Canis lupus familiaris: one gene and its partners. The protein of the gene in region 4 interacts with the protein of the main gene of each other region in a pairwise test. Links are inferred from orthologs where the notes say so. Each region holds a gene or a part of one and is shown on either strand. Other genes may lie near its edges.

The links.
Region 1: the proteins of BAG6 (region 4) and SERPINI2 interact in a two-hybrid assay, tested with the Homo sapiens proteins (2 studies listed by BioGRID and IntAct). The two-hybrid records come from large-scale screens. The link is inferred for Canis lupus familiaris from reciprocal best matches to the Homo sapiens genes BAG6 and SERPINI2.
Region 2: the proteins of BAG6 (region 4) and TAC1 interact in a two-hybrid assay, tested with the Homo sapiens proteins (2 studies listed by BioGRID and IntAct). The link is inferred for Canis lupus familiaris from reciprocal best matches to the Homo sapiens genes BAG6 and TAC1.
Region 3: the proteins of BAG6 (region 4) and DNAJB11 interact in a two-hybrid assay, tested with the Homo sapiens proteins (2 studies listed by BioGRID and IntAct). The link is inferred for Canis lupus familiaris from reciprocal best matches to the Homo sapiens genes BAG6 and DNAJB11.

What each region holds. Positions count from the first base shown.
Region 1 is NC_049255.1:32,604,472-32,608,563, forward strand, and holds the start of SERPINI2 (serpin I2), read right to left. Parts: upstream 2,801-4,092; 5' UTR 2,648-2,800; intron 2,468-2,647; exon of another isoform or gene 2,389-2,467; intron 449-2,388; 5' UTR 441-448; coding exon 194-440; intron 1-193.
Region 2 is NC_049235.1:22,592,765-22,596,816, reverse strand, and holds the start of TAC1 (protachykinin-1), read right to left. Parts: upstream 2,801-4,052; 5' UTR 2,680-2,800; intron 2,274-2,679; 5' UTR 2,256-2,273; coding exon 2,133-2,255; intron 1,102-2,132; coding exon 1,005-1,101; intron 532-1,004; coding exon 487-531; intron 1-486. UniProt on the Homo sapiens protein: Tachykinins are active peptides which excite neurons, evoke behavioral responses, are potent vasodilators and secretagogues, and contract (directly or indirectly) many smooth muscles.
Region 3 is NC_049255.1:19,355,498-19,359,701, forward strand, and holds the start of DNAJB11 (dnaJ homolog subfamily B member 11), read left to right. Parts: upstream 1-1,404; 5' UTR 1,405-1,567; coding exon 1,568-1,635; intron 1,636-4,159; coding exon 4,160-4,204. UniProt on the Homo sapiens protein: As a co-chaperone for HSPA5 it is required for proper folding, trafficking or degradation of proteins.
Region 4 is NC_049233.1:1,267,881-1,270,617, reverse strand, and holds part of BAG6 (large proline-rich protein BAG6), read left to right. Parts: intron 1-25; coding exon 26-103; intron 104-213; coding exon 214-321; intron 322-441; coding exon 442-554; intron 555-656; coding exon 657-744; intron 745-945; coding exon 946-1,229; intron 1,230-1,645; coding exon 1,646-1,937; intron 1,938-2,102; coding exon 2,103-2,272; intron 2,273-2,449; coding exon 2,450-2,503; intron 2,504-2,619; coding exon 2,620-2,722; intron 2,723-2,737. UniProt on the Homo sapiens protein: ATP-independent molecular chaperone preventing the aggregation of misfolded and hydrophobic patches-containing proteins.

The sequences.
Region 1 (4,092 bases), on a different chromosome or scaffold from region 4:
TTCTTCTGGTAACATTTTCATTAGGAAACAATTTAAATAAAATTATTTAAAATTCTCTATTTTATTATAATTTTATGCTTTTGATAACATTTTCCATGTATTTAAATTCTGCAACCCCAAGCTTCTCTCTAATTTTCAAAATAAATTTGGCCAGATCTTATCCATTATAAATAATCATATGTAAGAATCTCACCAGTTGAGTTTTCCTGAAGTTTTAAAGTTTGTCTTATCTGCTGTTGTGCTCTTCCTTTTGCTCCCAGTTGTATCATCCCAAGAACCAAAGTTGTTCCGAGGGGGGAAAATATAATGTTGTTCTCATGAGATAAACAAATAGTTTGATAAAGATCCACTGCAAATTCGACATTTCTTTGAACCAAGGGTCTTGAAGCTTGACTTCCAGAAAAAATCAATAGGAGACTCCACAACAAGATCTTATTCATTTTGACCTCTGTGCATTAATTCAAAATTCATTAGTTTTTCAAAATAATCAGAGTTTAACCAAAGTAAGTTCCAACATAAAACTTTCTAACTATTAGGACAGACTATTACAAGAAGATTCTCATGCCAATTTTCAGACTCAGCATCATCTATTAGGGGAAATAGGCCATGTGCTAATAGCATTATCATATTCTTTCAAGAACTAGTCCAAAATATAAAGCAGTCTTCTAAAATCAAAGGAGAACCTGTAATCCTGGGACACTATCAATAGCAAATCTATCTCTAAATAGCTATGTGATACTTTTTCCTATTTTTCCCATTGTTTTATTTTTTTTTAAGATTTTATTTATTCATGAGAGATAGAGAAAAAGAAGCAGAGACACAGGTAGAGGAAGAAGCAGGCTCCATGCAGGGAGCCAGATGCGGGACTCGAACCCGGGACTCCAGGATCACGCCCCCGGCCGAAGGCAGACACTAAACCATTGAACCACCCAGGGATCCCCTTTCCCATTGTTTTAAATGGGATCACTTCTAGCTCTTTATCAAGGAAATCCTCTGTCTACACTACTCTAAAAAGGTTTGTAGATCAAAAGAGAAACAATAAAAAAAAAAAGGAAGACACTCTACTGTGGTTTTGATCTATAATACTAGAAAGTCAATACTTTCTAAATTAGTTCGAGTAATCTGGCAAAGTCTTTGCAGTAGGAATTTTCACACTTTATGGAATCTCACTTCTGGAGGGCAAAATACCCCAAAATCCACCATGTACTTTATTCAAAGTGAGGAAAAACAAACTCAGAAAAATTGTAAAGAAACACAATTACAATCAAATATAAGTGGTACAACAATAACAAAAGAAGAAAGCAATTAAAAAAAATCAAAGAATAATTTGACTAACACATTTAAGAAAGTTACAATTGGAACCTTAAGCCAATTCACAACACTACTGACACCCTATGACAGTGCTCTCCACTAAAAGTACAGGAAATTCAGCCACCTGATTACATCTTAAGAATGAGTTTTGCAATATTATCACAGACCTCACAAAATGCTGACTCCGAAATCCTTATAAATTTTAGTAACACTAATTTTACCTTGCAAAAAATTCATTTTAGTAATCCTTAATAATTCCTAGATTAAAAGGTTACTAGGCAGTAACCATTTATTGAAGGTAAAGATGAAGGGCTCCAGAACAATGTATTGTCAGCCTTAAAAAATGAAGAACTATATTTCCAAAGTGTTCTGCAGACAACTAGAAGGGTCAGCATGACCCATAAATGGGTTAAGAGTCACTATTAGATATAAAGCTTACTAATAGTCAAATATTCTCTAAAACTAAGATATGGAGTCATTAGCCAACTACTTCAAATTGCATTCTAATATTTGTAATTAAACTCTGTTTAGATATACAATTTGCAAAGGAAAAAGACCTCAAAATGCAATTGAAATAAATTGTTTTAAAAAAATTGTTTTGGCAAACTGCAAATATAGATATATACTATCAAACCACGTTTTATTGAGGATTAAATTAATACATAAGGTTGTGAGTCAGTGCAACAATAGTAACAGCCAGTGAGTAAGAAAAGTTTTATACATGAAATAAATTTCAGTGAATCATTTTCTAATCTATTCAATATCTCAGAAGATTTATGATTGAAAATATCAGTTTGTAGATATATAAGCAAAGCGTTATTAGTACTTTTAAGTCATCAAGTGGCAATTCATTAGGCACATCCTGATGCATTTTATTTGTATTAGAATAATAAACAATATTATGAAGGATACAATTTTTCCCCTATAGTAGAATCAGAGGGGCATCCTCTCATTATTATGAATGATCTTAATAATTAAAATTTACATTATTTGATCATCCAATTTTCCCAGAAAATTTCTAGGCATTAAATAAATTACAAGCTTACACCAAAAAAATTGTTTTAAAAATTCACTTACATCATTGGGTTTTGGATCTTATCTCATCAGGAAGCATGAAGTACTGGTGAACTAAACAACATTCTTATAAGAATCCGACCTTCAAATTTATAATTATGCCAGTTGAGGAGAATAAAAGTAATGTGTTAATTTGATAAATTTAAATAATATCTGTATCAAAGTGAATTGAAATACCATTCCCCTACTCTATTAAACACTCATGATCAATATTATTGCATATGTACTTTACTCAAAAGCTATTTAATTTTGAGGTACTTACCCAAAATTGGCTTCTGATTATTCACTGTAATGTTATATAACTATAATGTGCCTGCTGAGAAACACTAGTACATAAAATACCCAATCAGTCAAGGCCAGCTTTATTTATCTTGAACATTGTATGATTAATTCCTCTAAACCCAAAGCAGGTGTTCACTACATTTGTATAAAAGAACTAACATGACCAGGTTAATGATCAATGATACAACTGGCAAGAATTGAGAAATAAAATGACAATAGAATTTTTAAAAATCATTAAACTTCTAAAATTTCATCCATTATTCCACTTCTTTTATATAGTAAGTAGAAACAGAATTTGGAAGAATGTACCAGGGCTTGTAAATTTGCTAGTAATTAGTTCTTTTTGTTTCTCACAGGACTCACACATCAGATTACCAGTGTATGCCATCATAAATATTTTAGAATGCCTATGAGAAAAAGGATAAAGCTAAATCAAGTCCAGAATGCACAGACAAATTGCTGCCGCATTTGCAGAGTTCTCAACAATTCATCAAATTATACAATAGTCACAGGAATTTCCTGTGGTTACATTTTAATTCTTAGCAAAAAGAGTGGATGTTGAAGAAATAAACTCCCTATGTTGAACAAAAAGACCAGATTAAGATTATTGATTTACCAAATTAAATGAAGATAACACTATTAAACATAGCTAATTTGATAATAAACATCAGTGTTACTTTTATATGTTTTTAGACTTTTACATGATTTTCTCTACTGACAGTTCATTAATAAAAAATGGACACATAATTTAATGGGTTTTGATCTCATTCTTCTAGTTCAAATCAATCACCTCAATGGCAATCAGATATTAAATACATTGTATTATTCATCAGTCATCTCTGAGAAGAGAAATGGAAAATTTGTTCCAGTTACTATTAAATATTCACTATTGATAACTAAATGTAATGTTATTTCTGATAAATTTATGAAAAAGAAATAAAATGAATGTAGATGACTTTAGAAGGAATTCATCAGGAAAACTTTCAAGAATGCTGTTAACCTCTTTCAGTGTCCTAATGGGGCTGGAGCTCGCTGACAGCCCTGATGATTGCCATAGGCCATAATCTCCTAATTCACTAAAATCCTTAATTGCCCATCTAGGCATCTCTAAATGTTTTCTAAATCTTGGGTTATAATATTACATATGCAAACTCATTTCCAGCTTTTAACTTAACACTATTAGAGATCATTTTCCAAAACAGTCATGCAGCACAAAAGCATGATCTTTCTTCTTACTCTACTATGCAATTCATAAATAATAAGTCTGAATATCCAAGACTATCATTCAATCAATGCTTTTCTATCCCTGTGGTGACACCAGCAAACATCCATCACAAGTACTGTTGGCTACCAAATTATTATTTCTCCATATTACTCAGATCATAATGTGATTTATCCAGGAACAGGCCATTACTTTTCCTTCCA
Region 2 (4,052 bases), on a different chromosome or scaffold from region 4:
TAGATTTGTTTTAAAATGCTACATTATATTTTTAGAAGAGAATTATAAAATAAGTTGATTTTTAAAACATGTAATATTTCCCATTCATGTACTATCCTGAGGAATATAGCAGAATATACCATAAATGCTAACCAAATTATTAATGATAAAAACAAAATAGCAACCAAAAGGAATATTTTTAAGTGCCTTCTATGGGCCACAGATTCAAACCCAGGACTATGAGACCCCCGAGGCCTAACAATAATAACTGTTAGGCCACAACACCTGTTTTCTCACTTAAAAACAAAACAAAACAAAACAAAACAAAAAAAGAAACACATCTCCAAGCTGGACCACCATTTGACACTCAGGAAAGAGGGATACAAATCTATACCTTTACTAAACAGGCATTATCAAGAATCTGTATTTGAGCCCATAAAAGACTTTCTTTACGTTTCCTATATGTACATTCACAATAGTAAAATAAAGATTTATAGAAATGTTTACCATAAAGAGCTTTTAACAGGGCCACTTGTTTTTCAATTGAGGAATCTGACAAAAGATGAATCGACAGTAACTATTTACACATTCCACCGATGGTGTGATAAATTCAAGGAAATTGACTATTTCTATCAGGAGACATTAGGGAGCTCCATCTGATCGAAATCTAATCTAACCCCAAAGGTCTCCAACCGGTTTCCACTGGCACTTGGACCATTCTGACTACTACCCCTGGAGGCCCCGCGCCTCCCCTCCGGCAGCTGGGTCTTCTGTCAAGGGGGCCCTCAGCTAAGGCTGCTTCCTGTTCTTGATCTGGGTCACTCTCAGGACCTCTCCCTGCGTCCGAGGGCCTGTGCGTGTGTTAGCAGGGTGAGGGCCAGAGTCGCTCCCCGGGGATGTATCCATTTTAGCGTGGAAATTTCTCCTCAAAGGGCAGGAGAGACTGGGCGCGCTAGGACGCTCTAGGAGCCAGGAGCCCGGGAGGGTGGCTCAGAGACACGGAGGGGGTTGGCCGCCCATCTCACCAGCATCCCGTTTGCCCATTAATCCGAAGAACTGCTGAGGCTTGGGTCTCCGGGCGATTCTCTGCAGGAGATGCTCAAAGGGCTCGGGCAGCTCCTCCTGCGGGACAGACGCACAGACAAACGCGGGTGTCGGCAGCCAGCGCGCGGCCCCGGGGCGACCCCGAGTCGTTGCAGCGGTGCGCGCCAGCCCGGGGCGAAGCTCGGAGGCGGGCGGTGGCGCCGCAGGAGGCCGGGCTTCCCCAGGCGGGGGTCGGTGGGGTCCCAGCGCGGGAGCTCCCTACCTCGCCCCCCCCGCGGAACTCGGGTCCCCGCGCCGCCCCTCCCCCGAGCCCCGCCCCCGCGGTGAGCAGCCCGCGCCCCGCTCCTGGCAGAGCCCGGAGCCCCCCACTCCGCTGCCGCGCGGCCACCTGCCGTTCTCCCGATTCTGGCGCCGGCTCTGGGGACGCCTGGCCGCCCTGAGTGCACACACGTGTGTGTCGGCGGCGGGGAAGGGATGACAACGCTTTGCCGGCGACCTGCACCGCGCGACTCTGTTCCCTCGGGGCGCTCCCTTGCACCAACAGCCCGCGAGCCCAATGAAGGAGAACTTGCAGCTCCGTCCTCGAGTCGGTAATAAAAGTCCAAGCAGGAAGTCAGCTCCCACCCGCCTCGCCGCTCGAAGCCCCCAGCAGCTCGCCCTTTGCCCCTGCGTCTCCCGGGGTCCGGCGCGCCCCCTTCTGCCCCTGCCCTGCGTTTCCAAATGCCCGGGTCGAAATAAATCCCCGTTACCCCGGGATGCAGCCTCGGGAGGTTTCCAGTCCTGGGGGGACCCCGGGCTCACCAAGGAGGGCATCGTTCCTCCAGGAGTTCCCGAGACCCGACGGTGCAGTCCCCGGGAGGAAACTTGGATCGCGCGCACGGAGCTCGTGCGGGGACCCAGGGCGCGGCGCTCCTTCACACTCCGTCCCGCTCCCCGCGCTCCTCCCCGCGCTCCTCCCCGCCTGCGGTCGCGGTCGCGGTCGCGGTCTCGGTCGCGGTCGCGGTCGCGGTCGCCCGGCCTGCCAGGCTCACTGGAGCGCTATCGCGGGGGCGGTGACAGCTCCCGAGGCCGGGAAGAGCGGCGCGGGCCGGCTAGGGGCAGGGTCTCACCTTGATCTGGTCGCTGTCGGACCAGTCGGACCAGTAATTCAGATCATCGTTGGCTCCGATTTCTTCTGCAAACAGCTGAGTGGACACGAGAAAAAAGACGGCCAAGGCCACGAGGATTTTCATGTTGGATTCCTGGGAGGACTGGGGAAGAAGAGGCCGGGGGAGAAATATTGGAGAAGGCGCTCCAAGAGTTGCGGTATGATTTTTGGTCCCACAACGCAAGTCAGGGCCGGCTGAACCAAGATAAAAAGCCTAACGGGGCGGGGTGGGGTGGGGGACCCTACAGCACCCCGTGTACCGTTTAGGAAAGAGAATCACGCCCCAGCGTTTCTCAAATCCCCTTCTCCCTCGGTCCCAACTCCCTCAGTCCCCGACCCTCCGATCCGCACCTCCAGGCCGGGAGGCTCTCCCTGCAGGTGGAAAACAGAGGGACGCTGGCGTTTGGGGCACCCGCGTCCCCGCTGTGCCCCCCGCCCCGGGGGCCCCTCCAGCGCCGCCAGCCGCCACCTGGGAGCGCAGCGCGGCGCGGCGCGGCGCGGGCACTTACTGCGGCGGGCGGGCCGGCGGGGTTCCTCGGGCTGCTCGGGGCGCACGCGGGGCGCTCGGCCCTTAGGCTGCCGCGGCGGGGGAGGCGGTGGCGGCGGCAGCGGCTGCGCGCTCCTTCGGCGGCTCCGTGCCGCGCGGTATTTATCCGACGCTCGACGAGCCTCGGGGACCACGTGACTCGCTCCCCACGCGACTTTCTGCTCAATATTTAATTACCCGCCTCTTCTCCTTTGCTTGCGTCTGATCGAGAGTTTCCGAGACGGTAACCCGTCGGTGCCCGAAACATCTGGACCCAATCGGGTTCGAAATGACGCAATTTTAGGAAAAGCCAAGCTCTCGCCATCCAATCCCGAGCGGCCAGTCTTCTTCCGTCTGCAGATCTGACGCCCCCTCCCCTCTCCTTCGGAGCGAGGTTCCATGACACCTGAAATTACTCATCAAAATTGAGCGAAGTGACTCATTCCTCGGACTTCCGCAACTTTTTCGTCCCTTGAGACGTCAGGAGAAGTTGCACTTTTAAGGACGGCCAGATAACTGAAGGTATTAGGATACTGTCGTCGGAGATCCTACTAAGAGGAGCATTTCAAGGGGGGTGGGGGGAGGCTTTCCCCCCTCCTCTTTCACCTGCAGAGTGCCCTAGTGTTTCTGAGATCTGGCATCTCCTGTGAGCAGAGCATCCTTCTCCCAAATCAGCTACGACACGGGCGTTTCTCCGGCGTTACAGAAGGATTATCAGTCCCATAGCATTTCAGACGATGGAAGCAGATTTATTTCACATTTTGGAGAAAGGAGAATTTAAACGTGGCGACACACGTAGAACTTTCCTATCGGTGCCATTCTAGGATATCTTTTATTCCAAGCTAGCAAAACCCTCTTCCTTCGCACATCCAGGAGCAGGGGTTGGAAGAGGACGTATTTGCTTCTCTCCTACCCTTTCTCGCTGAAGACTAAGAAACCGGCGAGGCAGTGTACAGAAGCCTGCCTGGGTGTCACCGAAGGACTCTACAGATCATTCATAGATTTCTCCCGTAAATGGAAATCAGTGTAGTGAAGATGCTAATCGGATGGTCATTGGCAATACGAAAACTATTAGACAAATAGCATCTGTACAGAAATCTCAGCTTTCCATGAGCCCACGGTTTCACCTTGCAGACACATTTCTTTCATCTCTCAATGAATTAAATGAGGTGTCTTGAGGGAGGCAGTTGTTTTCTCCTCCTTGTTAAGTAAGTATTATATTTTTCAATTAACCCTGATTTTTTTAGTATACTGCATATAAAAAATAACTTTTTTCAATTCACTTAAACCAGTAATTTTTTCCTCTAGCATTTGCTGTTGTTTCTTAAATAATCCTGAGTTTTGAAATTCCCACAT
Region 3 (4,204 bases), on a different chromosome or scaffold from region 4:
AGCTATTTTCGACTGGCTAGTCAGGGAGGTCTTCTCTGAAGTAGTGACATTTCAACTGATCTGAGTGTAAAAAGCAGTCACCCAAGTTAGAAACTAAGGGAAGAGTGCTTCAGGCAAAGAGAATAGCAAGAATAGAGGCCTTAGGGAGGAATGAATTTTGTGTATTCATAAAAAGAAAAAACCAGGTTTGCTGGAACATTCCAAGGAGTATATACTAGGTGAGGGCACAGATCCTATCAGGCTTTAACTATTTTTTCCCCCAGCTTTATGAAAGCACACAGAGTTTTATAAGCTATCATAAAGAGCTGGGGTTTTATTTTAAGTGCAATGACAAGCTATTCGAGGCTTTTGAGTAGGAGAATGACATGGTCTGACACGTTTGCAAAAAATCATGCGGTTGGGGGTCAGGAGTGAACAAGAGAGTGTAATATATTAAGAGTGGAGGCAGGGAGACCACGTAGGAAGGCTTGCCAGGGGAGAGATGACGTGACCTGGCCTAGAGAGGTAGTGGAGATGTACAGCCGTGGACAGATTGAGGCTATAGTTTAAAAGCAAAGATGTGGATAGAGGATATAGGGGCGGAATCAAGGAAGATACCTAGAATTTTGTCATGAACAAGTAGGTGGGGGGAATCAAAGAGTTCTACACTGCGTGCCTGCTGTGCTAGACAGTTTACAGCTTTTCTCCCATTAAATTTCACAACACTGCCAGTAAAATGTTTTGCCCTCGGGTTTGTAAATGAAGCTTAGGCTTGACGGGGGCAAGGGAAGGAGGATGTTCTCACCGCTAAGAAGTGATGGAAGCTGAATCCGAATCTAAGTCTGTCTGCCCCCACGGCCTCTTCTCCGTGCAAACCGAGGCAATTTTCTTCGGGGCTTGTTCCAAGAGGGTAAAGTAAGATCTCTTAAGCCGTGCGTCCGCCCCACCGTTGGCGCAGAGTAGTTGTCCCCGCCCATTTCTCCGGTGACCCTTTGCTCCCGCACCCAGCGTAAAGCTCCGGATGAATGAAATTCCCAGACTCGTCACCAGGTAAGTCCTCCCTCCCGTAATTGGTCAGTGCTGGAGGAGGAGCCTCGTGATTGGTGGAGAGCCCGAGGTGGGCGGGGAGGGGCGGGACTCCTGGACCCCACCGCCTTTTTACGCAGTTTTCCGCGACTCGTGGCTACCGGGGCCGAGCGGAAGCCCGCGGCGGCGCGTCTCTCTGACGTTTCCTCCTCTAATTGGCCCGGAGCTGCGGCTGCAATTCGGAGGCCTAACTGGCCGGCCGCGCCGCCTCGGAGGTGAAGTGTACCGCGCTGATTGGCTGCGCGGCGCCGGCCGCGTGTGATGTCCCGAGCAGCGATTGGCTCTCGCCGGCTGCGGGGCTTCTCTCCCGGGGACTCGGGACTCCCGGGAAGTGGACTGGCCGAGGAGGGGGCGAGCTCGCCGTCGCTCGGGACCGAGGGGTGACCCCGGGGAGAGGCGGCCTCTGGGCACCGGGCGGGGGGTGGGGGGCCGGTGAGCCGACGCGGCGGCGGGGCGGAGCGCGTGGGCGAGGGGCCGGCACGGAGGCGGGCGCCGAGAGACCATGGCCCCGCAGAACCTGGGCACCCTCTGCCTGTTGCTGCTGTACCTCCTCGGGGCCGCGATCGCCGGGTGAGGACCGGGCGCCCTCGGGCACGGGGCCGGTGGGTCGGTGCGTCTGGGCTGCGGGAGGAGGGGGTGTGCGGGGCGGCGGAGAGGGGCGCAGGGCCGGAGGCCCTTCCAGCGGGATGTGGATGCGGTGCGGGACGGCCCGTGGGGGGGGGGGGGGCGCGGGGTGCTGCTGAGCCGAAGAGGAGGACCGGGTACGTGGACAGCCCGCAACAAGCCCCTGGGCGGGGGGGGGGGGGGGGGGGAGGCGGCGGTACTGCGAGGCTGAGCGAGCAAGGGAGAACAGGTAGGGGAGCCATGCCGGGGCCGAAGGAAATGGGATGGAGGCAGCGAGGCGGGCCCTGGAGAGTGCTTGTCCTTCCTGGCTCCTGGCGATAACGGAGCCTTAGCTGCCCTCCTGCTTCACGGCCTCTCCATGGCACGTTCCTGAGAAGCCTCCTAATCTCAGGAACAGGAAGGGCATTTCACCGACAGACAGCGAGCTGGCATTCAAGACCCCGCATCCCCACCCCACCTGCGAGTTTCGTGACTCTGAGTTCTCATCTGTATCATGAAGATAATAAGGTGCCCCCCCCCCCGTACGAAGGGAGTAGGAAGGACCACCTGAACCCTCAGGGATGCGTGCAGCCTTTTAGATCTACGATCCTAAAGCTCGGTGACCGCAGGATATGACGTGCCGGGCTCACATTTGAGTATATGGGGGAAACAGTGAAGTCTTAGCTTCTAACAATTCCTAAGTTTCCCTCACTGTAGGGGATGCTACTTAGCAAAGCTTTAAACTTCAAAGCGCTTGTTATTTCTTAAAAGTGTTCTTTTCCCCCCGTGCTTATATGCTTAAACTTTGTTGTCATTTTTTTTTCTGGTGAAACATTTTAAATTGCTAAATAATAATAATAATGATTTCTTCTAGGTAATGCTTTATTGTTTTTTTTTAGTATGTTTTTGTTAGTACTTCACTTAAAGCAACACATACATACCCTAAGATATGGGTCAGTCTGAGTATTGTTAATTCTGTAGCTTTAAACGCCAGCCTTTTTATAGAGAAGTCTTTGGGGAACTGTAACATTGATGCTGAACTATGCCAGCTCTCTTTTCCCTGATTATTCTGGACTGTTACTGACCCATTTTTATATTAAGCATATTCTAAGTAAGCCTCATTCTTTAAACAGCTCTTTTGTTATTAATTTTGGTGAACCTTTTGATTTATTTAGTCCCTTGTCTCTAGATCTTAGGGGTGTTTGCAGATTTGGGGGGGGGATGGGGAGGATAAAACGTCTAATTAATTCTCATTGGGGATGATAATTTTACAGACTTAGACCTGAAATGATTATATGACTTTCCAAAGTGCAACAAAGAACTTATGAAATCATTTTTTCCATGTTCTGTCATATATCACTTGGCACCTCAATGCATTTTATCCCCATTGCATTTTAAAGTCACCATCACTACTGTAGTAGTGTGTCCATTGTGGACAACTTTCCCATTCCCTGTGTTGAGAAATGCATTTTCAGAATAATTTTTTTTTCAGAATAATTTTTGATGGCTAAAATGACTCTGGCAAAAGGAGTAGGTTTTTGTGAGCATGCTTATTTATTCATTTCATTCAGTAAATATTTATTGGTGTCTTCTATGGGCTACAGTCCCTACCCTTGAAGTTTATTATGGTCTGTTTTATGCATTGGCCCTTCTTGCAAATACTCCTTTTATAATTACTTTAGCAGAGTCCCTTGCAAGGAGGTCAGTGAATCTGTACCTTATCTCCCTGCTCATGCTGTATGCATATTTGTAGCTGCTGAGACTTACAGGCTTCTGCATATGGGCTTCAGCAGCTGTCTATAATTACGACTTGACCAAGACAAACCAGTATAGCCACTAAAAATGACTGCAAGATTGATATTTTCTCTCACTTTTAGCAAAAAACACCACAACTCCTACATCCAGGTAGAGGTTATTCTTTCTCAGAGTTCTTAACTGGATTTTGGCTTAACTTCTATGTTAACCTCTGAAGTTAATTTCAGTTGCTTCATGTTTAACATTCTAAACAAAGCTACGGTTAGAACTTTTACATGATGTGATCTTTTTGAATAAAGAAAATCATCCTTTGGTTATTATTTGACCTTTGGACATAGCCAGAAGTCATTTGAAGTCACTAATAGAGGGAAGGAAAAAAGAGAGAGTTAATTCGATTGTACAGTTACTGGTTGAAAATAACATGTGACCATAAATAAGGAAATAGTTCTCTTGTCTGAAAGGGTCTAAGAGAAGTATGCCACAGATGTTTTGAATAATTGTAGCAAAGTTCAAAAAGTTCATGGCCTCTCATTGTGATTACTTCAATATGTAAGATTCCTTACAAATTCTGACGGGCTCTTTTTAGTCATTCTTTTTTGTGTGTCACATGTATGCCTTCATTTTCCTACCTCTTTGCTCATATACAAACCTAAAAGCAAAGGAAAAAAATTTCACTTTTAAAAACATACTGTAGAACTCTTTAATGAAGTACCCTCTCCCCCTCCCTATTCCCTAGGCGAGATTTCTATAAGATCTTGGGGGTGCCTCGCAGCGCCTCTAT
Region 4 (2,737 bases):
CCACTCTCTCTGTCTCCCTGCTCAGATTCCGGCACACAGCCTGGTGGAGTTCCGAGTGCTCCCACTGGCCCCCTAGGACCCCCTGGTCATGGCCAGACCCTGGGTAAGAGTGAGGGTATCAGAGCAGGCAAGCTCTGGGTAGAGAAGGGGTAGGGCCGACTGGGTGGGTTGAAGGGGGTCCAGGTTCAAGGTTACATCAGACCCGCCCCCCAGGCTCCACCCTCATCCAGCTGCCCTCCCTGCCCCCTGAGTTCATGCACGCCGTCGCCCACCAGATCACTCATCAGGCCATGGTGGCAGCTGTTGCCTCCGCGGCCGCAGGTAATAACCCGGAAGGGGAAGCTTGGGAGGTGGGGCACGGTCCATGGTGGCGGGTGCTGTCGGCTAGCAGGCCAGGGCCCGGCCCTCAGCCCTCTTCGGTCTCCCCTCTGCCACCCACAGGACAGCAGGTGCCAGGCTTCCCTACGGCTCCGACCCGGGTGGTGATTGCCCGGCCCACCCCTCCACAGGCTCGGCCTTCCCATCCTGGGGGGCCCCCCGTCTCGGGTACTCTAGTGAGTAAGGATGGAGGAGCTCTCGTTGGGGGGAGTCTGGGGAAAGAATCCTCGTGGGGAATGGGCAGGGCAGGACTGAAAGCTGTTTCTGTCTCCCTCCAGCAGGGCTCCGGGCTAGGTACCAATGCTTCTCTGGCCCAGATGGTGAGCGGCCTTGTGGGGCAGCTCCTGATGCAGCCTGTTCTGGTGGGTGAGTCCTTGTTCTTGCCCGTCTCAACCTGAAGGGATGTCCACCACCCTGGAGGCCGGTGCTCCTCAGTCTCCTGACGAGCGCTTCCCAGTTTTCTCCACAGATCCTTTTTCCTTGCCTTCCTGTTGACAAGACCAGAATGAGATGCTGTGGTGTCTCGTTTCTCTACAGAGTTCAACTTTTCTCTTTTGGTCTCTCCAGCTCAGGGGACCCCAGGAATGGCTCCACCTCCAGCCCCTGCCACTGCTTCAGCTAGTGCCGGCACTACCAACACCGCTACCACAGCTGGCCCTGCTCCCGGGGGGCCTGCCCAGCCTCCTCCCCCTCAGCCCTCGGCCGCCGACCTGCAGTTCTCTCAGCTCCTGGGGAACTTGCTGGGGCCAGCAGGGCCTGGGGCCGGCGGGCCTGGCATGGCTTCTCCCACCATCACCGTGGCCATGCCCGGCGTCCCCGCCTTTCTACAGGGCATGACTGACTTTCTGCAGGTGAGTTGCTGGCTTGCTCTTTGGCTCCCCCCCACACCTGCTGGTCCAGCCAGGTGCTGGTGCCTTGTTTCTGTGATGTTGCTGCTGGGCTACGGTCCCTGGTGGCCTGTCGATGGGAGGGAGCCCTGGGACCTCATTGATTCCGATTCCCCACCTATCCCCATTTGGGAGAAGCAGCAGCTGAGGCTATGAGGACATAGTACTTGGCATTGCTGTTTTGTAACCTAATGCGTTCAGGGGGAGAGGGGCTGGAGCCCCACCTAAGTCTGCTGCTATGTCACCACATGTGTTCATTCTGCTCCAGGGAGGAAAGACCACAGTGGGGCTCTCCTGTTGGGCTTCTCTCAGCCTGTGCCTTTCTGGTGTCTCGTCCCCGTTTTCACCTTGTCTTCTGTTGTGTGTTCTCTGTTTGCCAGGCAGCACAGACAGCCCCTCCACCCCCGCCGCCGCCGCCGCCCCCGCCCCCAGCACCGGAGCAGCAGACTGTGCCCCCACCAGGGTCCCCTTCTGGTGGCACAGGGAGTCCTGGAGGCCTGGGTCTTGAGAGCCTTTCACCGGAGTTTTTTACATCTGTGGTGCAGGGTGTGCTGAACTCCCTGCTGGGCTCCCTGGGGGCGCGGGCCGGCAGCAGTGAGAGCATCGCTGCTTTCATCCAGCGCCTCAGCGGATCCAGTAACATCTTCGAGCCTGGGGCAGATGGGGCCCTCGGTGAGCCATCGAGGGTGCCTTGGTCTTCTCCAGGGAGGGGAGGGGAGGGGAGGTTGATGACCTTTGTCAAGGAGTGTTGCTGGAGCTGGATGAGGTCGATGGGTTGGTGGTGCACAGGCAGGGCAGGGGGTAAAGGCCACTGCTGACTTCAGCCCCTGTCCCTAGGATTCTTCGGGGCCCTGCTTTCTCTTTTGTGCCAGAACTTTTCCATGGTAGACGTGGTGATGCTTCTTCACGGCCATTTCCAGCCACTGCAGCGGCTCCAGCCCCAGCTGCGGTCCTTTTTCCACCAGCACTACCTGGGTGGCCAAGAGCCCACACCCGGTAACATACGGGTAAATGAAGGCCGGGGGCCGCCGCATGCTCCTCTTCAGCTTCTCTTTCTTGACTCCACTCTGTCACCTAAAGTGCCGATCGCTCCAGCCTGAGCCCTGCACTTACTGGAGGTGGAGGGGAGGGCATGTCTCACAGGCCAGGGTGGGGGATCTGAACTCCTGCTGTTTTGCCCTTAGACGGCGACCCACACATTGATCACGGGGCTGGAAGAATACGTGCGGGAGAGTTTCGTGAGTTCCTCATCTCCCGGGGGGCCGGGGTAGCTGCTGTTCCTCCCACCGCCTCGGAGCGAATGTAGTCTTCCAGGCTCCCTGATTTGGGGGTCTCCGTGTGTCTTGGTTTTCAGTCTTTGGTGCAGGTTCAGCCTGGTGTGGACATCATCCGGACCAACCTGGAGTTTCTCCAGGAGCAGTTCAACAGCATTGCTGCTCATGTGCTGCACTGCACAGGTGAGGGCGGCCAGG